Oreochromis niloticus: one gene and its partner. The protein of the gene in region 2 purifies or fractionates together with the protein of the main gene of each other region. This does not show direct contact. Links are inferred from orthologs where the notes say so. Each region holds a gene or a part of one and is shown on either strand. Other genes may lie near its edges.

Region 1 (7,855 bases), on a different chromosome or scaffold from region 2:
TCTTGTCCTTTTGCATGTACCTGTTAGGAAAATGAAGGGATGAATGTGAGTTTATCTTAAAGCCAGTGATTGGACAAAGTTTTTTTTTGTGTGTGTAAATTCTACACAATGACTCTGAGGTGCTCAATCATTTTCTAACACCTCCTCTTTGCTCTCTGTACAGAACTGAAGAGAAAACCCTGTTTATATGCTTTTCTTTGTAATTCTGAAGACCAATCTTGTACATATTGTTGCTTGTAAATGGCTTTTTCATTAAGCAACTGTAAGATAGTGTGATATACTGTGAGAGAGGAAACAAAGAGGAGACGATCTCTGCCATTAACGGATAGCTGAATGTTACTGCGTGACCTCCAGAGACGAGATGATGGTGGTTGCCTCTTTGAAATTATTCTCAGTGTTTGTTTTCACACGTTAGGGGACCCAAGTGGAAGGGGTTTGCCGTGCTTTGAGCACCGGAGGAGAATCTGCATGAACCAGAGTGCCATTTGAAAGTCAGCTAAGTGTACTTTTCTTCGCCGGATAACTCGCCTCACGTTTTTGGAATTGTGCTACTGTGCTCCGACCCCATCCAGCTGGTGTTCCCAGTGAAGCACAAAAACACAAATACTGAGGTCTGCAGCCCTCCTGTGATGCAGGAAAATAGCATTTAGCTAATAAGTCGATACTGTCGATACCCCTCTACACTGTGTACTGGGGGACCTGGACCTGATGTTGGTTATGTGATCCACATTTTTTTTATGTGCATTAGATGTGCTGAATCACATGACCCATTTGTAACTACACACACTCACTAATTGTAACATGCTTTCAATGATTGTACTTTTTTAAGGCTCTTGTCTTTTCCTTTTTTTTAAAGCACAGTTTTTTGATTATCTTCAGGGTTTTTGATTACTGTAAAATCCTGACTGTTAACAGGAAGTCATAGTGATGTTTGCTTATCCATCCACTCAGCTCACTGAAGATGAGCCATTCATGTCCAAACCCAATTCTCTCTACGATGATTAAAACAAACCGTAAACCCACCATGACAGAGGTGGAAATTGCTTTAAGGACTGTATAAAGAAGGTGTTCTTTCTTCACACCTTTTGTAGACTAAATGTTTCATATCTGATTCAGACATTTGATTCAGGGCAAATTCTTCTCCCGGAGAAAACGTTTCGTCCCCTGTTTTAATTTCAGAGTGAACTGTGAATATTCATGAACAAGGACGGGGACTGTAATCACCTACAGCAGGAGATGGCTTGTCAACCTTATACCATTAATACTGAAAACAGCATTATAGCGTATTGTCAGAGGTTCCACGCATTTCCCTCTTTTCTGTCAATCCAAGAAAATGTGATTACACTGTAGGTCTTCTCTCACGCTTTGTTAAATCGTGTTTCTCCTCCTTCCACTCCAGCCGTCCGGATGGTTCCGTTGAAAAGTCAGACCCTTCTCCTCGGCGTCTGATCTCTCCTCCTCGACATGTAGTTGCGTGTTCTTGTGCACAACTCCCATGTTAAATTGTAAATATGTTCATTTGCTTTATTTATGTTTTTGATGCCGTGATCAATCCTTTTGGGGTTGGTGTTATTACGAATGCGCTTCACGCGATGGAGTGCGTTGGAATATGATGACTTCTTAAAAGTCTAAATTTAATAAACTGTTCTATACCGTTTGTAAAGTTTTGTGTCCTTCGTCTGCAGTCTCTGGGTCAGTGTGTTGTGGGGTTTTTTTTGTGTGTGTGTGTGTGTGTGTGTTTTGTTTTTTGTTTTTTGTTTGTTTTTGTTTTTTTAAAAATAACGATCACCTGTTCATTCGTCGGGATGACTGCTAAGAAATTCATACAAAAACAGGAATATTTCTTGAGGCAGCAGGCCTGTAAATCATTTTGCTGTCTCTTACTCGACATTTTCTCACATGTATATGATGCACTGGAATAGAAGAGATTACAAAGTGACAGAGCCCACCTAATGATGTGTTTTCATACATTTTACAAAGTGACTCAAAACTGCAAAATAAGAGTGATGACAGTATTATATCAAAGTGACGCCAGCAAGGCTGTAAATCTAATAAAGATGAATTCAATATAGCCTTAAAAGCAGAGACAGACAAAACTGTATGACACCTGAGATATTTTCATGATGCTCCTCCACACCTTATTTGTTATGCTTTACAAACAGCTAACAGCTGGAATCTCCCGTTTCAGTGCAGCTGGCCAACAAGACAATTACTGCTAAAGAGATGGTGAAAGTAGACAGTATATCCTCTGTTTCTTAGTGTAAAACTCATTGTTACAGACGGGTAGCACAAAAGTGATCCCCTCAGTTAATGATTCTCTCACTAGTTAGCTAAAATAAACTAATGTAAGTCTATGAGCCGCAACCAACGAACCATCGCAGTGACGTAACGTTCTCTATGGCATAAGGTGGCGCTACACATGTTCTCAAAATTTAAACATCACCAAGATGTGTGGCCTCTGGTCTTCAGTAAACTTGGGGGTTGCGGATGGCCTCCTGGATCCAGCTCAGTCTGCCTCTGACTCCTGGAGGGCGTTATTGTGGCTTCCCAACCTCATTATCAAGTACATTCATGATAAAAACATAGGCACACACACCAAAAGGAATTTGTCAAAGTCAAAGTGTCCAGTTCCATTCAGTGCAAAAGAACAACAATAAATACATGAAGAGTAAGAATAAATATACGCTTTGAGACTGAGGTAAGGGGAGTACATAAACCCGATAAAACTGGTAGTTTAACAGTCTAAAAATGTACAATTTACAATTGAGATATAAAGTGACCTTGAGTGGTTTTAAATATATGTGGATATATGTATCAGTGCTTTTTCATATTTATGTGTTCCAGGTGCTTCATCTTTGTTTTTTCTTAGAGGTCCAGCAGTTGGGAAACATTGTGCATTTCTATTTGTACTCTATCCTTTGGTTATATTTCCCCCTATTTTCTCCCCCCCATCTTTTTTCTCTTCTGCCTGTCCTTCCTTAGACATCGTCATAGTATACCACATAACGTAATAACTGAAATAACACAAATAGAAATGAATGAATAAACAGATAAAAGAAATATATGAACAAGAGGAGCCTATAGAGCTTTATACAGCTGATCTTGGCATGAGCTTGATGTTTGGCACAACAGTGCATTCAGATCATAAATCTTAAATCTTAATTGCAAAAGCTGCTAGATAGGACAGGATTAAAAACACAAACAAAATTTACCAGGTCATTCCATATAATACAGTGTTAGAAACTAGTTTTGATACAGGACGAACACCTTGAAGATAACCCTTATATCAAATTGTGTATAAAGGGAAGGCCCTTTTTTTGGCGTAACTTGATGTAATCAGCCACCTACAGATAAGGATAACAATGTGCTTTAACTTTGTAATCCTCAACGCTTGTAAAATCAAGTTAAAACTGAAGGTTATCTCCCAATAAAAACTTCAGCAAGGCTTTTTAGCTGTCACTGAGAAAGTATGGTGCCAAAAACAAATCAGGTTAGTCTCAGAAAGAGAATTGTTGATGCTCAGAAAGCAGGGGATGGACATACAAAGTTATCACAAGGTTTCCAAGTGTAAAGAACCGGAGGGAGAAGTATCAACAAGAAACTCAAAGAGAGCCACACATTACAGAACAAGCCTGGCAGAGGCAGGGAGAAGAAAATTTCAAAGACTCTGGAAACTAGTCAGAAAAAAATGTCAAATAACCCCATAACATCTGCTAAGACATGAGTGAATGATGGGAACTGTAGTCTCAAAGAACACAATCGCTAAAACTCTGCACAGGAATGGACTATGAGGTTATAGACAGAAGAACATGAAGGACAGCCAGGAGAAAGATTATGAGAGATGAAAAGTATACAGCTGTTTGGACACGGAAAATGAATGGAGAGGCTTATCGCTCTAAGAAGACAGTCTTCACAGTGAAGCACGGTGGTGGAAGTATTATGGTGTGTCCAGATCATAAAGCAGAGCTTGCAGGAGGCATTCGCCCCATCTGGTCTTTAAATTTCTTTTGGACTTCTTGTTCTTTAGATTATAAATCCAAGTGAAACTTTTGCATTTTGTTTGGGACCATTTATCAGATATACAGAGGCTCACTTGTGGTTTAGGATTCTGCCTTCAGTGTCTTGCATCAGCGTCCTCTCTCTGCCACAGCATGTAAGATGATTTGTGAGATTCTACATCTCGGATTAGAATTCAAGGTTAACAGTTCTCACGAGTCTTAATTTCACAAGTTATAACTAAAAACGTTGTCCTGTTGTGTGTGCAAAGCATCATGGAAAGTGTAGTTATAGTACTATAACAGTCATAGTGCTATACATTTTTCCTCGTATTCAATGACGCATGACTATAAAGTTTTAAGCTATTGCCAAATAGGGTATTTAGCTTAACTTAAGCTTAGAATATGTCCATAAAATCATAAAATTTAAGAAGCAATATTGTGAAGGCTTATCTGGTACACAATTATCTGATTTAAAAATAAATAAATGAATAAATAAATAAACCCAGGAGATGAATTTAATGTCAACAGCTGCTGTTCTCAGGAGTATAAGCTTTTAAATCGTAAATACTGAGATTTTAAGTGAAATATGAGCTGTAGTGGGAGCGAAACATTATAAGGAAAGGTCATATTTCTTATAATATTATTATTTTGTATTAAAAATATTAAAATAAACATCGAGCTACGCTTAGAACACGAGCAGCAAACGGACGACGGTGTTTATTTTAGAGAAAAATAATAATAAGAGAAAGCCGCTAAAGAGCTGTTTGGGAAAACGAGAGGACTTTTCCTGTCTTCCAACATAAAAGTTTAAAGCCCTGCGCGCTCTGCCTCCTTCCGTTGCGCATTTCCGTTGTCGTGACGTCACTTCTGGATGTAAATATGCGGCTTGGTGCGGCGCTGGGAAACACAACCACTGGAAAGATGTAAACCAAGTAACCGGCGAAAACCAGGTTCAGCGAAGACACTAAACCTTCCCTCCAGGGAAACCGTACCTCTGGTCCAATAAACGGAACTACATCAACAGGTAGCTCGTCGGCTCGCTATCTCCGAAGTCAGCGGAGCGCCTGCATCTAGCAGCCATCTTTTGTGAGAGAATGTACGGGGCGACGCGGCGGGCCTGCTCGGGCTCTGGTCGGGACCGGAGCTTGCTGATGCTGACCACCGCGCTCCTTCTCTCGGTTATCGGGCTGCTGTCCGGCTTGCCTGGCTTCACCGAGGCCAAGGAGTGCGATAAGCCGTGTATGAACGGCCAGTGTAACACCGCCACTGGCGAATGTGTATGTTTTCCCGGCTGGGTTGGGGACCAATGCCAGCACTGCGGAGGGCGATTCAGGTATAGTAAAACACACTGGCAGATTATAGCCTACTGTTAGCAGTGACATAAGCTGAATGTGGAGTCTACGTCTGCCTTGTTTTGCGCCAAATGTTTGCTAATTCAGACCTGACAGTCCTTGTCTGGAGATGGCGAGCAGCCCACACTCGAGGCGTTCAAGTACCGGTCTGCTACTGCCTCTGCCCCAGCTACAAGCGAAGCGGTTCCCCCCAAAGGCCACAGTCCTCCTGGTTTAAATGCAGCATGTGTTTGCTGAATGGTTCAAGTGTGTGGGTTGGACGGCTATGCCTGTGTGAATGTGGTATTTAACATTTGACCAACATTGAGCTTCAGAGCTTTTTAATCCGAATTAGTGTCACATCTTGCCACTCATTCACGCAGATCGGGAGTATTCTGGCCAAACCAAAGTCACATCATCAGCCTGTTTTCGTACACACCATTTCTGGGCTAAGATCACCTACCAGAAAGGACAGAACCATGAGGAGTAGCCGGGCTGCATGTAGAAAATCTGACAGCACAGACAAACGTGTCATCTATTTTTATGTATTATCTGCCCACCAAAACCATTTTGACTTGTAACCACAGTGCACTCTCTGCTAGCCTCTATTTTTTTTCCAATCTAACAGAGTAATTTATCTCTAACTGAACTAGTCTGCTGTTCTGTTGGTAGTGTCCCACGTTTTCAGGCCAGTAGGTGAGACGCTTTGCATTCTTCAGCTTCACGGGACTCTTTGAAAAGCTGCCTGCATGGTGTTTGGCCCACTGAAACGTTCAGATAACTGATATTGTGCGCTGATGCCAGGACAGCAGCAGCTCAGGGTCAAAGTATAGAGGGTGGGTGCACACTGAAAGCACTTTGTGTTTTTACAGCTGAGCTGCCCAGGTTAGTGCTGTTGGCGAAACTCATGCAAACATCTGAGAGGTGGGAGGAAGGTACCACTTGACAAACCCATTAACGCATCATCTCTCGCTCGCCCCCCACTCCCCCCCTCATATCTGCCCACATCCGTGTTGGCTTTCTTTAACTCTGATTTAAACCATGAGTGCCACTAGTTTGTGTGCGAGTGAGTGAATGCCAAAGCTGTAAATTTGCGAAAGTTGTAAACTGGTAATTATTACCGCTTTGCCCGTCCTCCGTTCCCATTTTACTGTCACTTTGCATTACTGGAGTTTGTCCTCTGATCTGGAAATTATCCTGCAGCATGAGCTTGATGACAGCTTCACTCGGAATCAGTCACGACTATATTATTGATCACTTTCCATAGGATCACGCCCTTCTGCTCATCCTTCAACTATGACATTTAGCAAGCACAGAATAAGAAAAACAAATTATTATCCCCAAATTATTTTTTCCTTGGCAGAGCTCAAATGTGACCTCTTGAACTAATTTTACACTTCTGCTTTCTTTATTTTCGCTGTTAAGCAAGGCGATCATGTTCTGATGTGCTGGCGTGTCTGTGCAGCTAAGAACGTGTGAGCCGGGTCCACCCTGTAGGCAGCTGATTTTCTTCTCTTTTTTCGTAAAGGGAGTCCAGAGCATTTTCTACTCACTTTTATTTAATACTGTGTCATGCTGCCTCTGCTTGTGATCAGTCTTGTCAGGTCATAAAGCAGAGCCAGCGGGAGGCCTGCTGTGTTATGCGTGCTCAGAAGTCGGTCATGATGAAGGGAAGGGAAACTGGAACAATTTCCACATTAGTGCAGCCGATTGGTGAGCACATCTGAGCAGGTGAAATGGAGGCTGAATGGCTGCTGAGCTTCTAATGTTTCAGTACACTGGGCTTAAGTGGTCTCTGGGTGAAATGGCTCATCTTGGCTGTGAATAAAAACTGTGATTCTGTTGCACTTGAGTATCAGCCTCGACAGTCTATCAGTGTGGGAAATCATCGCTGACCACCAGCTGCATTCTGGGTACCCGGCTCTAAGAACGCTGGGTTTGAATGGAGTTAAACTCTGTTTATTAATATTAATGATTTTTTTTCTCATTAGTTAGTAATGTGTAATAGAGAAGAGGCTAAAGTCAATGGAATTTGCTTATTTTGTCCTAAACAGCTGACAAACCCAATGGTTGGCTTTTATGTAGATCTTTATTTGTACACCGCGCTGTTTTAATGTAGGGTGGTGGTTGACTGGCATGCATTAAAAGTATAAGACATACTCTTTCAGTCGCCCTTGATCAAAATACCAAAGCTTTGGCTTCTTTTTCAGGACTGCTTTAATACAACCCAAGGGGTCAACTGCTAGGATGAACCTCCCTATGGGGCTCATTAAAGTTAATCTGTTTTTTTCTAAGGCTGCTACGTTTGTCTTTTCCAGCTTCTTTTAAAAGCTTCATCCTGGCATGTAAGTGACCATAGCTAAAACTGTGCTGATAAGTGGAAAAAAACAGAGATCTCTCTTTTCTTCACAGTGCTGCCAGACTGGTTGTGGTGCTGCTTGTCTGACCGTGAACTTCGCTAATAGCAGAACAGGGCACTCTTTTACAGTGTAATGTTCAGCGGTCAGCACTTCTGTGTCAGTGGGT
Region 2 (6,940 bases):
AATTATTCAAATAAATTAAGATATATTGAAGTCAAGGAGTATAACACTAGCAGAATTTATGGGGCACTTATTTAACTTTCAACTCAGAGTCTGTGTGTAACAGCTTTATTTACACTAACTGGCCACTTTATTAGGTACACCTTGCTGCGAGTGCCAGATTTGTTATTTTAAATGTGTTTTTTGTAAATAAATTCTGTGTTTTTTCATTTGTACGGACCTCCAGGCCCCACAGGCAGTCAGCCAGTAAGATCATTCTGATTTGGTGCCGTACGAGTGCCGATTAAAGCCTTTCTCATGGGGTCTACCAGGCACTGTGTGTTTTCTGGGGGGCTGGAAAAAGTAGCAGCATGAAGTTGTCCTTTAGATCTGTATTTCTGCCAACCTTAGGCGATTTTGGGACCTCGGGTCATAGTAATTCCACGTGTAGTGAATCTTGTGTCAGATCGATCAGCACACAGTCAAGTCGCAGGTATGACCATGAATCGATCAACACTGCTCCAGCACCATAAGCACACTACCTAGATGATCTAGTTGACTTGGCTTTGCTTTGTTGCTGTTGTCAAACTTCTGACTTCTTTGTTTGTTTACCCTTCATGGATTAATTGAAAACCCGAAGTAGAGTATTTTCCGTCCAATGAACTAGGCTGAAATAAACAAGTTATTCCCAAAACATGGAGTGGACTAGCTTCTTTTTTTCTTTTTAAATGAGCAGAGTTGACTAATTCTGGACAGGCAGACAAAAGAGCATCAACCTTTGAAGCAGATGGGCTACAGCAGCAGAAGACCACATTGGATGCAACTCCTGAGGCTACAACTCACACCGGCTCACCAGCTGAACATTTTTAACACCTTGCTATGTTAAGTAGAGTTAAAGTAGCTCTGATAGCAGCCAGTGTAAAAATCTGTGAGAAATCAAAAGGTGGATCTTGTTGCTGTTCAGTTCCAACTTTTTAATTGATCTTTCTTATATTTTTAAGCATTACAGCTACAGACGAGCACATGCTTTAACCAGGTATTCACAGATCAAATGATGGTCCACACAACTGTGGGTGTTCGCTTTTCTTTTTTTTAAATCCAACCTCCTGAATGAGTCACACTGGCTCTACTCTGCCTGTATAGTGACCTCACACACACTATTTCAACCTCTCACTCACACACCTGTAGTCACTGATTGCACTCTGTTCAGCACTGTTTATTTATACCTGATGTGTGCTGTGACTGCACAGCTGTGACTTTATCACTCTGCCATCAAAGCACAAATTCCTTTGTGCTCTTGTGCAAGATTATCTCCACTTGGCCTCTGTCAACAGTAATAACAGTTGATTCATACATCGACTTTTAGCCCAGGTCAAAACGCAATTGTTTGGACAACGGGCTCGACCTCAATCACAACAGTCACTTAAAGAATAGAAAAACACACACAAAAAAATATTTTCTTCTTCGTGGCACAGATTTAACAAGCTGCTGGAACCATTCTGGTCCACATTTGCATGATCAGCACCCGTAACCCCATCACACTGTATGGGGTGGCTGTTGCTCAGGCGGTAGACTAGATCATCTACTGACTGGAAGGTTGGCCAGTCTGCGTGTATCCTTGGGCAAGATACCAAGCTGTTCTCCAATGCATCCATTTGGGGCAACCGTGGTTCAGGGGGTTGGGAAGCTCATCTGTAACCGGAAGGTTACCGGTTCGATCCCCCAGCTCTCTCTGTCCTGGTCGTTGTGTCCTTGGGCAAGACACTTTACCCTACCGCCTACTGGTGTTGGCCAGAGGGGCCGATGGCGCGATATGGAAGCCTCGCTTCTGTCAGCCTGCCCCAGGGCAGCTGTGGGTACAACTGTAGCTTGACTCCACCAGTGTGTGTGAATGAATAGTGGAATTCTAAAGCGCTTTGAGGGTCTCGAAAAGCACTATATAAATGCAATCCATTATTATTATTTGAGTATGAATGTGTGCGAATGTTAGATAGAAAGCATTTCAAAGGATAGAGCAAGTGCTTGTATGAATGAGGCATGTTGTATAATGGCTTTGAGTGTCAGTCCAGATTTGTCGGCTGCACATTCATAATGAGAATCTGTCGCTCCACCACATCCCAAAGATGCTTGTAGAACGTGGGTATGGGTCAACACAGTCAACAGATCCCACTGTTGACTGTGGAGGTCACCATCCATTTGAAGGTTGAACCCTTAATAACGAGACAAGTCTGTATATAATGAACCTCCTCAGATCTTAAAAAAAAAAACAAAAAAACAACAACTGATGTAACCTTGGTACATCTCGCATGTATTTCTAGGCTTCTGGGGTTCAAGAAATGCCAAACCAATTGTGGATTTCAATATGGGTTTTAGTAAAGAAACCCGACACACATCTCGATGTCTAATCTTCTGAGTATTTGGACCCATCCGTGCACACCGCTCGTTACCACAAGTATCAATGACGCCTGTATCCGAGTATATGTTGTCATTAACAGGATGCAACGAGCAGAATACAAAAAAACTCTCGAGAAATCAGCTTTCATGAATGTGTAGAGTCATTGTTTTCTGGAGAAAAAAAAAAGCTAAGATCAAAACTGTAGCAGGCTGTCGACTAACTATTTCACCAAAGAGGAAAAATCCAACAGCACTGCATCCTCATCATCACACCTTAATCTTCATCCTGTTCGACAACTCTTTGCATGCAGTGACTTTTGCACACAACCACAAAATAAAACGTTAGGAGCTAGCGTTAGCCTGAGAGCTAACGTTCTGCACATAGCTGAAACGGCTCACAAATATGCGATTCGCCGACCGTACAAGCACACAGGGTAACAGACTGCACATTCACACTCTCTGACGGCCCTCTGTTAATACACCTACCTGTTAATAGGACCCAAATAAGAAGAAAAAAGTCTCCTCGCTTTTTTGCGAGCTAATGCTGCTAAAAATGTTGTTGTTATGCTAAAAAGAGTTCCTCTTCTTCTTCCTCTTCTTCTGTCGATAAGGTGAATTACCGCCACCTACTGGGCTGGAGCTAAGGTACTATCTATCTATCTGTCTATCTATCTATCTATCTGAGTTGTATTATTCCATTTTTAAATAGAAACATATAAAAATTATTAACGTGAATAAAAACTAAGAGGCAGAAACAGAATTTGTGATCTATCTCCACTGCAACAAAAGGAATTCAGATGCACAAGATTTTCTCTAGTCCACACATGGTCAAAAGTATATTCCTCCACTAAGCTTTGGGTTAATGTCCTTTGGTAAGATGCTTTTGGTAGCCATAAACAACCGTATACTTCCAGCTGGATTTCCCACTGTTCTTGGCAGCATGGCAGAGTTAATTAAAGCTTGTTGGTTTTCTGAGTTGGACCATGGAGGCATTGGGAAGGCCTATCCCTTCTGTAAAGGTCAGCCTGCTTTATCTATTCTAAAAACAGTTTTGATATGTGTTTGGAGTCATTGTCCTATCAGAACACCCAAATGTGCTCATGTTTCAACCGCCTTACTGTATCTTCTATTGCTCTATTACATCCACTTTGTGAAATGAACCAGTACCACTGGCAGCAACATTTGGTTTTGCGACCCAGAAGTCTGACTCCAAACATTACAACTAGTCACAAACACAACAGCCACCTAAAAAAAAATACAGATTTTATATATAAATTCACTTCAGTTCCTCATGTTGAGCTAAAAACAAACAAACAAAACATGCATTTGTTAAGTAGTTTTGAGACTTTATTTCAAAGTGTGTGAGCACAGAATAGGAACACGTTATAGGAACAGACATGTTGCGTTGCCACTTTTGATTTGTTATGGATCCTCTTTGAGGAAAACTGCATTTCTTTTCTGTCACTCAGGGCTCTTAAAGCGTGTTTCTTCATTTGGCTCTGAACATGTGGTGAAGTCCAAACTGGCAATAAAATGTGCTGTTAACATCCTAAATTATCAGCGGTGAATATATCTCCCATATAAAAACACAGGCATGTTTTCCTTTCCATAAAATTTAATGTACACATCATTAGCTTCCCATTCCCTCACATCTCAGTAAATAAAACCAGGGGATAGTGTCATGACTCAGTAATTACAAATCTAGATTACAAAAAAGCAATACAGACAAAAATGTACTATGTGGCAGAGTGTTAAAGTCAGGGCTACCAGCAGAGAGAGACGTGCTAGAGGTCGTAGTGGTTACAAGTCATGCTGTCGCTTCCTCTGTCCAAGCACAGATGAACCTGTTTGACTCAGAGGAAGACCAAATTTAATGCAAAAACATGATACATTTTCTCATTTTTTGTGTGTTTCTGTATTTGTTTTTGCAAAATCTATATTTAAAGGCACAGAATTTTTGCCATCTTCTTACCTGTCCGAGGACACAAAACAAAAGAAAAGAAAATAACTGAGTAACAACATCATACACCTTTGCGCTAACATGATTTGCTGAAAAATACAGTAAGCACTATGTACAGCAATAACTCATCTATCAGAGAGCGTGTGTTTTGTTTCTTTTTGCAAAATGTAAGCGAATGGCAGCCTTAAAAAGTGTGATGTAATCAAAAGAAATACTTGTTTGGTCGCAGCATAGAGAAAACCTGTGAGAGTGGAGGTGGAGATTTAAATGCCCCTCTGATGTTCTGAACCATCTGTGTCCACATCAGTGCAATAACAACAGCTCTCTATTGTCATTTCAGCTGTTGCACAAAAAAATCTGACTTGACCTTTAAAGTCATACTAACGGTAACGTAGCAGCAACCTGAGAGTCCCACTGTGAAATGTACACAGGCTTACGTGAAGCTTACGCTGGGACTTTGACATGTTTAGGAATACTTTGGATTGTTTCTAAGTTCCTTCTGTTCCCCAAAACAGATGATGCTTTTCACCTTCTAGATGAAAACCAGCACTTAAAGAAATGAAACTTGCTTGTTTATCATAGTTTCTGTTGGAGTCCAATAAACAAAATACTTCTGGTCTTTTTTTGTTTATACAACAAATAATTTGCTAATGAGTTATAGTTTTCCACAGTTTTTTTAATCATTGGATGAAGCTAAAACTCCTTTGATTCACGCGTCCGATTGTAAGGCACCGAAAAATAATCCAAATATCACAAAAACTTAAAAACAAAGTATAGCTTCAACACCATTTTTACCTCAAGCAAGTCACATGTCTTGGCAAGTCGATTTTCAAACCAATAACGAAGTGACCAACATCAAATATACTGCAGGTACTGATGCAACACATGAAAAAATCCCCAGTGTGTTTACAGTGGGCACCTTCGTGGTGCTAAACTGCCGTAGAATAAAAAGTTCAAGAAGAAAACAGGTGTCATCTTCCCAAAGATGGGATTTCAAGGAAGCTTTACATCTGCTTTGCTCAGATCAGCCCAATAAGATGATGCAAACTCGCTTTAAAACCTTAAAATCAACCAGCAATCTGTAATTTTACTCTCAACTCACATCAAGCTCTGCAGTTCAAACGTGATCAGCCCACTGAAAAGCATTTGTAGGCTTGTCTGTCCCATAGATATGACAGTCAGACGTCTCTCTGTACCCAGTAGTTGTGCAGAAAGGGCTTTACCCAGTTTGAGCTTATGTAGATATGAATAACATTGTAGTAAAATCTCAGGTAGCCCTCAAAATTGAGCTTTCTCATAGATTACAAATACTTTATGCTTGTCTATGCCTTAAAACTAACTGAACAGCAATAATGAGTTCACGGAAAATCAGCCCGTCTCCATGGCTTTCCACTAGTCAGCATTAACAGAGCTGGTGTAAGAGACTTCCTGCCTGCTGTCAGTATCTATGGGAGCGATAAGAACCAATAACGGCCAACTTCCTGAGCTGATAACGTTTAAATTGGGTGCTTAATGTGTGTGTGCGGGGCACTGGTTTGCTAAATGGGGGCGGGGGCGCTCTCCGAGGTAGCCCAGAATGATTCTCGCTGACATCTGTCACAAGAAAGCTGACACGTAATAAACACATACATAAACAATAGCACCATTATCAGTGATAATCTCGAGAAGATCGCTCACACTGGAACTCTTCTCTTTCCTCCTCCTCTCTCCAGCTTCTTCTTCTTTTATTTTATAAGCCATTCATTCCTACAGGGGATTAAAAAAACTCTCAAAATGGGGTCGATGTTGCTCGACTCGATTCTGAAACCATCACAGCACAGGAGAAAGGTCCATTCAGTCAGTCACGTGTTCTTTTTTAAATCCATCTCATCCTCCATCATAAATTCTTGAAATGTTAGTGAATCCCCTCCTGATGTTTCCCCGCCTCACTCCTCCATCTTTCACCTTTGCCTACTACAAGATCTTGCTGCACACTTGGCAGCGGCTGACTCTGAAGCGCTCCTGGCCTCCCTTCAGCGTCTCCTTGTCTGGCGAGAAGGTAAACTCATTATTGGGATCCACGGTTGTCAGCCAGAAGCTGTATTTATTGGCAAAGTAGTGGCAGGTGCCCCTAGCGCCGTTGCACTCGATGAACGGAGTCGCCCGGAAGTCCTCCAGACAGGAGCCGGGAGACACCAAGGACTGACCGCCGCCCTCAGCGCCAGCTGCTGTGTGCTGTGTCAGAAATGAAAGGACATTTTTTTAAAATATGACATCTCTGAAGACAATTTGGCAGTATATAGAACCATGGGGAGAAATAATCTCTTCATCTAATTGCTGGTCTAAATCTGTTTGGTAGAAGCTGCCATTAACTACGTACCATTAGGAAGGAGTATCCTATCCAGAGACTCCTCCAGCCGGGAGGACAGCTGGGGATTGTCAAATCCTGACTGTGGACTGCCACTGCCTGAGATGGAGCCTCACATACTGAACACCTGTGTTATTCATATAATCAGATGAAAGCTTCATTAGTTGTATGCACATGTATACAACTATACAAATGATAGGCAGCTTGACTAAAGTAACACAGTGTACAATACCTGCTGATGTAAGGTCTTATCTCCTCCTTTT

Evidence for each region.
Region 1: the proteins of ankrd46b (region 2) and atrn purify together in Homo sapiens (co-immunoprecipitation; 3 studies listed by BioGRID and IntAct, with this or other methods). This does not show direct contact. The link is inferred for Oreochromis niloticus from reciprocal best matches to the Homo sapiens genes ANKRD46 and ATRN.

What each region holds. Positions count from the first base shown.
Region 1 is NC_031983.2:7,588,571-7,596,425, forward strand, and holds the start of atrn (attractin), read left to right. Parts: upstream 1-4,837; 5' UTR 4,838-5,092; coding exon 5,093-5,331; intron 5,332-7,855. UniProt on the Homo sapiens protein: Involved in the initial immune cell clustering during inflammatory response and may regulate chemotactic activity of chemokines. May play a role in melanocortin signaling pathways that regulate energy homeostasis and hair color.
Region 2 is NC_031967.2:33,361,932-33,368,871, reverse strand, and holds the start of ankrd46b (ankyrin repeat domain-containing protein 46), read right to left. Parts: upstream 3,010-6,940; 5' UTR 2,857-3,009; intron 1-2,856. Other genes in the region: col4a6 (collagen alpha-6(IV) chain), read right to left, coding at 6,284-6,544, 6,690-6,804, 6,910-6,940.